3 linked regions of the Cricetulus griseus genome follow. The protein of the gene in region 2 purifies or fractionates together with the protein of the main gene of each other region. This does not show direct contact. Links are inferred from orthologs where the notes say so. Each region holds a gene or a part of one and is shown on either strand. Other genes may lie near its edges. The genes, in order: Rab1a, Ocrl and Plekhj1.

Region 1 (3,750 bases), on a different chromosome or scaffold from region 2:
AGTTTTAGCCAGAAAGAAAGGAACAAAGCCAGCGTTGGTTCTGTCAATACCGTGCTCATTGAGGTGAAGTACTTTCACTTGGTGAAGTACACCTCCTTTTCCCACTAGGGCATGGCAGAACAACCTGATTTGGGATGAATGGCTGCAGCCAGGAAGGAGTACGCTGTGGACTCTGGATTCTTATTTTTGCCAACTGCCTAGCATAAAAGAATTTAGAATTTGGTGTCAGTACCACCAGCCAAATTGTAGGCAATGTCTTTGCTTCTGGATTTTAACATATTTGATACTTGCAGTGCAGTTTAATAATGTAAGCATTGAATTAGGATCTGTTGTGTCTGATCCTAATAATCTACAGTTTCCTCTTGTACTTCCCAAGTCTGTTGTAATGAAATTGTTTTGCCTTTCCTGATTCTTTTCTAATAGTGGGACACAGCAGGCCAGGAAAGATTTCGAACAATCACCTCCAGTTACTACAGAGGAGCCCATGGCATCATAGTTGTGTATGATGTGACAGATCAGGTGAGTTCCTAGAGACTATTGTATGTGTGTAGATTTTCGACACACTGTGTAGTTCTGATTGACCTGGAAATTATTATGTAGACAGAATGTCCTTGAATACTTTTGATCTGAAAGTTATTTTTACCATTTGAGAAATTAAAAAAAAAAATAAAAATTAGCACTCATTTTTCTTGTAGCAAATGTTAAATCAACTCTTTGTGACTTATGGGCAATTTGGAAATAACTGAAGACATTTAGGAGCAAAAGATGGGTGAATGTGGGCAGGAAAAGAAAATGCTACATTAACATGATGTCGTGTGCCTGGGTTCTTGCTACTTGGGAGGCTGAGATAGGCTCTCAGAAGACTGAGACCAGTCTAGGCAGCACAACACAGCAGATCACATCTCAAAAAGGCCAACACCCAGAGCAGACAGAACATGTTACTTTTTTAAAATTTTATTTTTATTTTATATACATTGGTGTTTTGCCATGGGTGTTGGGTCCCCTGGAACTGGAATTACAGACAGCTGTGAGCTGCCATGTGGGTGCTGGGAATTGAACCCCGGTCCTCTAGAAGAGCAGTCAGTGCTCTTAACCACTGAGCCATCTCTTCAGCCCAGAACATGTTACTTTTAAACGTCCAGTCTATCACCATTATTTTGTTGTGTTTTGAGACAGAGTTTCTCTGAGTAGTCCTGGCAGTCCTAGAACTCTGTAGAACTCAGAGATCTGCCTGCCTCTGCCCTCTAAGCACTGGGATCAAAAGCATGTGCAATCACTCCCAGTCTACCATAAAATATTTTTGAGAAAAGAAAAAGGAAAAGGTCTCACCAAAAGTTTTTTTTTTTTTTTTTTTTTTTTTTAAACTAGTTTTCTCCTCCCCATCCACTCACTATCTTGTAGTGGCATTTAAGCTCAGAGATTTCTGCATGCCAGGAAGTAGTCAGTCCCTGAACTGTACCCTCGGGCCAAACAGTTATCTTTTTGATAGTAGTAACACTGCTGTTATTCATGACCAGTTTTTGTTGTTAATTTTTGTTTGGTTTATTTTGAGACAGGATCTCCCTTAAGGTAGTCCTGGCTGACGTGCAACTAACTGATTTTGTAGAATGGGCAGGCCTAGAACTCAGAGATCCACCTGCCTCTGCCTCCCTAGTTCTGGGATAAAAGCTGTGTCACTACTCAGTTTAAAAACCAGAATTCTACTAAATTTCAGAAACTAGGTTTTGTTAATATCTAAATTTCAACTTAAAATTGGGTTTGCCTGGGGGCTGGAGAGATGGCTCAGCGGTTAAGAGCACTGACTGTTCTTCCAGAGGTCCTGAGTTCAATTCCCAGCAACCACATGGTGGCTCACAGCCACCTTGAATGAGATCTGCATGCAGGCAGAAGACTGTATACATAATAAATAAAATCTTTAAAGAAAAAATTGGTTTGCCTGTCATTAAATATTAAACTGTTTCCCTTCCCAAATAAGCTATTTTCACTTCAAGCCTGCCAGTCCTCCTTATCATTCATTAGATGAACATTGTCATTGTAATATATTAGTTCATTTCTTTTCTTGCATTATAGTTATAGCTAGAGTTGCCACAAAATGAGCTGTTATCAGTTGATCATTGGTTGCATCCAAAACTGTATCATCATTCTTGTCTTTAGGAGTCCTTCAATAATGTTAAACAGTGGCTGCAAGAGATAGATCGCTATGCCAGTGAAAATGTCAACAAGTTGTTGGTAGGGAACAAATGTGACCTGACCACAAAGAAAGTAGTAGATTACACAACAGCGAAGGTATGTATGAGGTCTGATTTTCTAATTACTTAATTAATTTTGGGACAGGGTTTCTCTGTATAACAGCCCTGGCTGTCCTGGAACTCACTCTGTAGACCAGGCTGTTTTCGAACTCACAGAGATCCTTCTGCCTCTGCCTCCCAAGTGCTGGGATTAAGGGCATGTGCCACCACCACCTGTCGAGGTTTGATTTTCAAGTTGAATTTTAATTATGGGGACGGGAGTCATACAGTGGCTAAACTTTTAAAAGCCAGTGAATTTAGTCCTTCATTCCCATTTCAGAAAGCATTAACAGCAAGTTAGAAAGGTTTTCCAGTGTTGATTGTTCCTTATTACTCTCTCAGGAATTTGCAGATTCCCTTGGAATTCCATTTTTGGAAACCAGTGCTAAGAATGCAACGAATGTAGAACAGTCTTTCATGACGATGGCAGCCGAGATTAAAAAGCGAATGGGCCCTGGAGCAACAGCTGGTGGTGCAGAGAAGTCCAATGTTAAAATCCAGAGCACTCCAGTCAAGCAGTCAGGTGGAGGTTGCTGCTAAAATTTGCCTCCGTCCTTTTCTCACAGCAATGAATTCGCAATCTGAACCCAAGTGAAAAAACAAAATTGCCTGAATTGTACTGTATGTAGCTGCACTACAACAGATTCTTACCGTTTCCACAAGGTCAGAGATTGTAAATGGTCAATACTGACTTTTTTTTTTATTCCCTTGACTCAAAGACAGCTAACTTCATTTTCAGAACTGTTTTAAACCTTTGTGTGCTGGTTTATAAAATAATGTGTGTAATCCTTGTTGCTTTCCTGATACCAGATTGTTTCCCGTGGTTGGTTAGAATATATTTTGTTTTGATGTTTATATTGGCATGTTTAGATGTTGGGTTTAGTCTTCTGAAGATGAAGTTCAGCCATTTTGTATCAAACAGCACAACCAGTGTCTGTCAATTTCCATGCATAAAGTTTAGTGAGACGTTATATGTAAGATCTGATTTGCTAGTTCTTCCTTGTAGAGTTATAAATGGAAAGATTACACTATCTGATTAATAGTTTCTTCATACTCTGCATATAATTTGTGGCTGCAGAATATTGTAATTTGTTGCACACTATGTAACAAAACTGAAGATATGTTTAATAAATATTGTACTTATTGGAAGTAATATCAAACTGTATGGTGATAAGTATTGTTTTAATTCTTATGGTTAAAGGGAAATAGGGATTTGCATTATACTCAACAGCCAATTTGTGTGTGCAACAAGGGCACTGTAGACCTATCTAATAATAGCACAGCATCCAGTATTTGCTTTCTAGTAATAGACCTGCTAAGTGACCTAGAGAAGCTTCTGTGCTGTGTAGACTGAACCAAATTCATTGGTTCAAGGAGCTCAGAGTGTATGGAAAACAAGTTTAGAATGTGTGCTTTCTAGTGCTTCATCTCCAGCTCTAAAACCGTTGTCTGAAGTGGCTTC
Region 2 (3,650 bases):
CTACCCTAACATGCATCATTTCCTCGAATTCAGTCACAACTGCAGTTCCTCATATGCTACACAGCGCTTAGATGTGAACAATTAAGACAGTCACATGAGTCATCCCTTCTGCCTTCCCGCTTAGTGTACTATCTGCCTCATCAAAATTTCCCAAACAGTTGTCCTCATGATCCTCAGGAAGTGGGTTTTTTGTCAGTTTAGTTATAGCTCCTTACAGAACAGTTGTCCATATTAGACTGTGCACAGCACAAAGATATCTCTTTCCCTTCGTAACCTAAAGCTCTCCCTTAATGAATTTGGATGGTGTTTAATTGAGTGGAAATTTGGCAAAACAGTTAAGTGTGTTTGTTTGAAATACAGACCTAGTTCCTTTTTGTTGATTCACTTGATGTAAAATACAATAAACCCATGCCTTTGTATTCTACGAGCAAATTTTTTTTCTTATGTATCTGGAAAAACACTTTAAAGAGTTATATTAATCAAGATACCCTTTCATAGAAGTGTTAAGAGCAGTATTGTTTGTTCACACTTTATCTTTGTTTTCAAATTAATTTTTTGTTGTGCTGTATTAGATTTTTTGTTGGAACATGGAATGTGAATGGCCAGTCTCCAGATAGCAGCTTAGAACCTTGGCTGAACTGTGATCCAAATCCTCCTGATATTTACTGCATTGGGTAAAGACCACTTCAGGACCTTCCTTTTCCTAGATTTGGTATTAATGTAACATGACTTTGGCCTCTCTCTCTCATGTTTGTGTGTTTATGTATGTAAATGTGTTAGCCTGTACATGTGAGCACCAGGTCATTGGGCATCTTCCACGATCACTCTCCATCTTATTTTCTTTCCTTTTTTCTTTCCCTATTTCATTCATGTATATAATGAATTTTAGTTGTTTCCACCCCTATTACCTGCTCTCTCTCCTGCTGAAACCTTTCTTCCTAACAAGTCTCCCTTCTACATTCACACCTGCTTTATATACATAACCCATTGCGTTTATTTGGAGTTTCTTGTGTGAGCGTGGATGGGAGGTTATTTACTGGCACATGAGCAACTTCTCTGTGGGTTTACCACTAAACAGTGTCAGCCTTTCTACCAGCAACCATTAACTGCTCATTGCCCATCAGAAAAGGGTAGAACCTCATGGACCCCTCCCCTATCCATAATGAAATGTTGATGGGCCCAATCTTGTACAGGTCTTATGCAGATAACCACAGCTGTAGTGAGTTCAAGGGGAGCAAGGACTCTGTCATCCAGAAGATGTCTTTTGCAGTACATGTCCCCATGTTCTGGCTCTTACATTCTTTCCATATCCTCTTTCACATGTTCCCTGAGCCTTGGAATATGTGATGTAGCTGTCCCATAGTGGCAGAGCACTCCACCATCACTAATTCTCAGCACTCTGACCAGTTAGGAGTTCCTACATTAACTGCCACCCACTTCTATGATAAAGCCTTATCGGCCTTATTTTGCTTGACACAGGGTCTCTCCACTGAGCCAGGAGTTTGCCTACAGATCCTCCTGTCTTGCTGGAATTGCATTCATGTCCTACACAGCCAGCTTTTTTATTTAACTTGAATGCTGAGGATTGACCTCATATCCTCACACTTGTACAGCAAGCACTTTACTGATGGATCCATTTCCCCATCCTTCATCTTCCTATTTTAAAAACTTGTTTGGTAAAAACTTGATGCGGACTATATGTGAGGGTTAATTTGTGGGTCAAAAGAAAAAAATTAATGAAACACAAAGGAAACTGCTCATCCTAGGAACACATGACATCAATTCTCATAGTGATTATTAAAAGGTTATAGATGTTTCACTATTGTCCCTAAGAGAGTTTTGATTGTTATCATTTAGTTTTGCATAACCTATGAATATAATAGTGGGGGTTCTTTAGAAAAACTACTTGTCTTTTATAAAACTTATCTTGCCATTTTTTCCTTTACCTAATGTCTCAGCAAATGGGAAAGGAGGTAGCAGGTAGCAGCCCACAAAAACTTGTGGGGTGTGTATAGCTCCTGCATCCATTTTTCCCTCAGATTCCAAGAGCTGGATTTGAGCACAGAAGCCTTTTTCTACTTTGAGTCTGTAAAAGAGCAAGAATGGTCCATGGCTGTGGAAAGGGGTCTGCCTTCAAAGGCCAAGTATAAAAAAGTAAGCTGCACTGGATTCTCTTTTTCAGTGTATAACTAAGTAGACCTCACTGGGAGTTATTCCATTTTCTGAGCCTCTTCCAAAAGATTTGTTAAATAACTGAATTCTTCCCCATATGAAATACTGTGCTATAGGAGACTAATCTACCATAGTTACTTCTGGGTGGGGGGAAGCATAAACTTTCTGTTCATAATTTTTTATCACTTAGGTAGTTTTTAGAAGAAAACCATTTATTGTTTTTGTATAAATAATTACATATAAGCTAACTGATCTGTCTGTGAAAGTTTAAGATTGTTTGCCAACGTGGCCAGAATTAAATGCCTACAAGAAAAGCAGAATGAAGCCTGTGGGTGCATAAAGTATCCATTACATTCAGAACAAGAATAACAAATTCTAGACTTCTTTGTAGGTGAAGAATAAAGTTGAGGAGCTGGAGAGATGTCTCAACAGTTAATAGCACTGACTGCTCTTCCAGAGGTTCAATTCACAGCATCCACATGGCAGTTCATGACTGTCTCTAACTCCAAGATCTTACACTCTCACACAGACATACATGCAGGCAAAGCACAAATACACATAAAATCAAAATAAATAGTTTTTAAAAGGTGTGTGCCATAACACCCAGCTATTGTTTAAAAAAGGAAAAGAAAAATAGTCTTTAGAAGCTATCTGATAGATGCATTTAGCTATTAGGAGAGTTATTTTCATTTTAAGATGACTATTCTAATCTCAGAAGGAGTAATAGAATGTTCTTCTATGCTTCTGAACAGTGTATGTAGGTGGCATAAATCGTGAAGTTGTTATGGCTCTCTAGCTCAAGTTTAGATTTAAAAAAAACTCAAAATTCAAAGGATCACTGTTTGTAGATTTAAATATCTTAGACAATGAGAAATCAGAGTCTAGGAAGGAAAAGGAAGAAGAACAAGCTTGGATAATGGTTTGTTCTTTACTATTTGAACTTTTAATGTATATCAGTAGGCTACAGAGTGATGTAAAAAGAGAGGTAAGACAGAATATGAGTTAGTGGTAGAGTACCTGCATAGCATGCTCAAGGTCTTTTATTTGATCCTCAGCACTGACAAATAGAAACAGAGAGAGAGGAACAAACTTATGCATTGTCCTTGGAGCTTCTGACTTTTATTCATCAAATTTAAACTAGAGCTTCCATAGAGAACCTTGGTTTCCAGTTTATGGGGTCCAATAGGAAATTAAAGGATGCAGATCAGATTTGGACATCTTTGTTGGTCATTCTGGGAAGGTAGCTATGTTGCAGAGAGTGATGCTCATATTAGCTGTTTGTAACTCCCTGGAACTCATAGGTTCAACTAGTCCGCCTTGTGGGGATGATGCTTCTTATATTTGCCAGAAAAGATCAGTGTCGCTATATCCGTGATATTGCTACAGAAACAGTTGGAACTGGAATTATGGGGAAAATGGTGAGTTACTTTGACAATTAAATTGATTACTTTTTATATCTATGTGAAATTCAATTTCAC
Region 3 (3,750 bases), on a different chromosome or scaffold from region 2:
CCCAGGACAAAACTAGCTTGGGTGAGCATGCGCCTTGGTTCTGGGGTAGGAGCAGAGTCTTGCAAAATCTCACCACTGAGCTACCTTTCCCAGCCTGTGACATTTTCAACCTCGGGAAACACTAGCAATTGTGGTGGGCATGGTGGCAAACACCTTTCACATCAGCTCTTGTCTTGGGAGGCCAAGGTAGGAAGACACCCGAGTTGGAGGCCAGCCTGGGCTGCACAGTAAAATCTTGTCTTAAAAGCATTTGGTGTCCTTCCAGAGGATCCAAGTTCAGTTTCTAGCACTCAAACTGGGCAACTGACAACCACCCGAAACTCAAGCTCCAGTGGATCTGGACTCATTCACATGCACAGACACACATACACACGAAGAAAAGATAGTCCCGGAAAAAGAAACACGGGGAAAGCAATGCGAACACCAGCACTTATCTTTCTGCTTCCTGACTACAGCTGCCTCAAGCTCCTGGGACAAAACTTCCCCACCAAACTGAATTGCACTCCTACTGTCAGCGGTAATAAACCCTTCCAAATTAAACAGCCAGGTGCGGCGGCATATGCTGTTAATCCCAGTCGTCCGGAGGCAGAGGCACCGCGATGTGTGTGAGGTAAGAGTTCCTGGTCGGCCAGAATTGGGCAGGGAGACACTGTCTGAAATAGAAGTTCTGCCAACGCCTGGATGCGCTCACAAGTGAGGCGTGGGGCAGGAGGGAGAACGGATGGATGGAGACGAGCTACCTCACGGACCACCATAAGATCACCGACAAACGAGACAGGGAAACGAAGTGCTGTCTGAGAAGGAGACGGCCTGGGATGGAAATACCGTTATCTTCCAGTCCCAGCAAAGGACCGGCTCGGGTGGGCGGCAGCAGCAGTCGCCAGGGCCCTGACTAACGACGAGGAAAGCTGAGGCAATCAAGGAGCTCAAAAGACCCTCAGGAACCGGGGCACGCTGGGGGCCGCAGACGCGCCACGGAAGCCCGCGATGCCGCCGCGGCCACTGGGCCGCGCGAGCGCCGCCGCGCCGCCCGCCGGCCGGCCCTTCCGTCCAGCCCCGCGCCCTCGCTGCTGCTTCCGACCCCCTTCCGAGACACCAAAGCCGGGGTAGCTTCCACCAACAAGCCGAGTAACACCTCACCGGCGCCAAAGGCCGCGCAGCCCAGGCGTAACGTCCGCGAGGCCCACGATTTCGCTGTGCGCACGCGCAGGCCGGACTAAGCAGTCACTTCCGGGGGAAAATAAGGCGGAGTTTCGGTTGTGCGCATGCCCAGAAGATGGACTCGGTTTAAAGAGGCGCGAGTGAAAGGAGCGCCGGAGTCCGAAGTGCGCACGCGCACTGAGTTATTCACGAACTCTCGCTGAGTATCGCGACAGGACGAAATCGTTATGTCTCAGCAGCCTCGGAACGCGCTTCGCTTGACAGGGGGTGCTACGGATCTAGCTTGATACCTCACGTTTAGTGTGTTTGACAGTTACCTAGGACGGGCGACTTCCTTCCTTTCTGACTCTGCGAGCAACTGCGCCCGCAGACACGCTAGCGCCCCGGCGCGCAGGCGCAGTAGCTCTGCTGGGACTTCCGGGAATGTTCCCTGAGACTTTTGTGGTGCTGAGCGCACCTTCCGAGCGGACGGCGGCCGAGAGGCAGGGCGCCCTCCGGTTCGCGCGGGTCCCCACGGCGTGATGCGGTACAACGAGAAGGAGTTGCAGGCGCTGTCCCGTCAGCCGGCGGAGATGGCGGCCGAGCTGGGCATGCGGGGCCCCAAGAAGGGCAGCGGTGAGCGAGCCGGGGCCGCGGCTGGGCACCTCCCCGGGGGGCGGAGGAGGACAGTTCCCGCTGACACCGCCCCGTGTCCGCAGTGGCCAAGAGGCGGCTGGTGAAGCTGGTCGTCAACTTCCTCTTCTACTTCCGCCCGGACGAGGCCGAGGTAGGGGCGTGGGGGGCTCGGGGGGCCCGCGCGGCCCGGAGCCGGCCGGCGCTCATGGCCGTGTCTCGCGCAGCCCCTCGGAGCCCTGTTGCTGGAGCGCTGCAGAGTGGCCCAGGAAGAGCCCGGCGGCTTCTCCATCAGTAAGTGCGCCGGTCCCCACAGTCCCCACTCCGGACTCTGCTCCGCACACCCCTCCCCACCCCCGCCCCAACCTCCGTTTGTCCTGGATCCCGAGTTTCCGGGGCCCAGCGCTGCATCAGCTGTCAAATTGCCCCCGGGTCTGGTCCCCGCTGGTGCGACCATAGTTTCTTCCCCGCCTTCAGTACCTGTTCACGGCAGGGATATGAGCAGCCTGCGCAGACTTTGTTGGTGTGGCATAAACAGTTCCTCCCGCCGGCAGGGCTTCTGAGGTTTTGAAGTGACATCTGATTCAGCCTTCTTCCTTGGTGATCTTTACAGTACCGTCCTGTAGACATTTGGCCCTCATGTCTTCCTCCATCATCACGGGGTTCTCCATCACTACCCTTAATTTCTGCTTCTTGCACGTGTATATTGAGGCCAGATGTCAATTTCTGATGTCTTCACCTCTCCCTTAAAACAATACATCAATATGTACACATACGTGTATTTGTGTGTGATCGAGCATGCCCCTAAGATCAGAGGACAACTTTGGGTAGTTGGTTCTCACCTTCCACTGTGTGGGTTCCCAGCATTGAACTCTGGTCATCACGCTTGGCAGCAAGCCCTGAGATCCAACTGTCTGTTTCCTCAGCACTGAAATGACAGCCACCTGCTGTGACATAGGAGCTGGGGCTTCTCCCCGGTCCTATTTCACTTTAGGGTCCACCCTGATGGCCCCACATTAACCAACTCCATATGCAATTGCCTGGCTTCCCAGTGGGTTCCCTATTCCTGGGCTCTGGAGGAGCCAAGCCAGCGTTTGAGAGGAAGCTGAGCCTTGAGGCCAGCATGATTAGGCCCCGTGGACACCGACAAGAGTTGGCTCCCTTCCTTTAATCCTTTCTAGGCTTCGTGGAAGACCTCAGCAGGAAATACCACTTTGAATGTTGTAGCCAAGAGCAGTGTCAGGAGTGGATGGAGGCTCTTCGCCGGGCCAGGTAGGGCTTTGGGGACCACTGGGAGCTGGGTTGGGGACTGATTGGTGAGCCGGGTTCTTTCTTCCAGCTATGAGTACATGCGACAAAGCCTCATCTTCTACAGGAATGAGATCAGGAAGATGACAGGCAAGGTGTGTGGGATGGTGGGGAGGTGGCAGGTGGGAGGCGTGTAGGGTGGTGGCAGGTGGGAGGTGCAGCCTTCCCTGGCCTTGTTCACAGGCACCATGTACCCCACAGGACCCCTTGGAGCAGTTTGGCATCTCTGAGGAGGCCAGGTTCCAACTGAATAGCCTGCCTAGAGACGAGCAGACTTGTACTGGCTCCCAGCTAGGTGTGTTGGACTGACCTTCCCTTGGGCCCCTGGCTGTCTTGGGAGGTGTTTTTTAAAAAAACGTCTGATCAAAGCCAGACATCCAGAGGAAGTGGGCAGGGGCTATGGTCCCTGTTCCCATGCCATCTCTCTGCCAATACCCTTGAGTGCCCCCACCCAGGGACTGAGCCTGGCACAGCTCCCACCCGTTACCAGGTGAATGTATAATGCTAGGTAAAGCTGTGAACCCCACTCCTGCTGATAGAGCAGGCCATGGTGCTGGCCTCCAGTGCTGAGCCTGCTCTTTAATAAAGGTACCTCTTTTCCAAGCCACACAGTGAAGTGAGTGGGGAGAAAGGGGGCACAGGTGGCGGAACCACTTTTCTCAGAGGTTA

What was found.
Region 1: the proteins of Ocrl (region 2) and Rab1a purify together in Homo sapiens (co-immunoprecipitation; 3 studies listed by BioGRID and IntAct, with this or other methods). This does not show direct contact. The link is inferred for Cricetulus griseus from reciprocal best matches to the Homo sapiens genes OCRL and RAB1A.
Region 3: the proteins of Ocrl (region 2) and Plekhj1 purify together in Homo sapiens (co-immunoprecipitation; 3 studies listed by BioGRID and IntAct, counting the BioPlex papers as one, with this or other methods). This does not show direct contact. The link is inferred for Cricetulus griseus from reciprocal best matches to the Homo sapiens genes OCRL and PLEKHJ1.

What each region holds. Positions count from the first base shown.
Region 1 is NW_023276807.1:86,262,839-86,266,588, reverse strand, and holds the end of Rab1a (ras-related protein Rab-1A), read left to right. Parts: intron 1-423; coding exon 424-519; intron 520-2,154; coding exon 2,155-2,286; intron 2,287-2,630; coding exon 2,631-2,828; 3' UTR 2,829-3,448; downstream 3,449-3,750. UniProt on the Homo sapiens protein: The small GTPases Rab are key regulators of intracellular membrane trafficking, from the formation of transport vesicles to their fusion with membranes.
Region 2 is NC_048604.1:21,516,205-21,519,854, reverse strand, and holds part of Ocrl (inositol polyphosphate 5-phosphatase OCRL), read left to right. Parts: intron 1-572; coding exon 573-674; intron 675-2,039; coding exon 2,040-2,154; intron 2,155-3,473; coding exon 3,474-3,590; intron 3,591-3,650. UniProt on the Homo sapiens protein: Catalyzes the hydrolysis of the 5-position phosphate of phosphatidylinositol 4,5-bisphosphate (PtdIns(4,5)P2) and phosphatidylinositol-3,4,5-bisphosphate (PtdIns(3,4,5)P3), with the greatest catalytic activity towards PtdIns(4,5)P2.
Region 3 is NC_048598.1:101,579,089-101,582,838, reverse strand, and holds Plekhj1 (pleckstrin homology domain-containing family J member 1), read left to right. Parts: upstream 1-1,419; 5' UTR 1,420-1,682; coding exon 1,683-1,776; intron 1,777-1,859; coding exon 1,860-1,927; intron 1,928-2,000; coding exon 2,001-2,067; intron 2,068-2,954; coding exon 2,955-3,045; intron 3,046-3,112; coding exon 3,113-3,176; intron 3,177-3,264; coding exon 3,265-3,390; 3' UTR 3,391-3,688; downstream 3,689-3,750.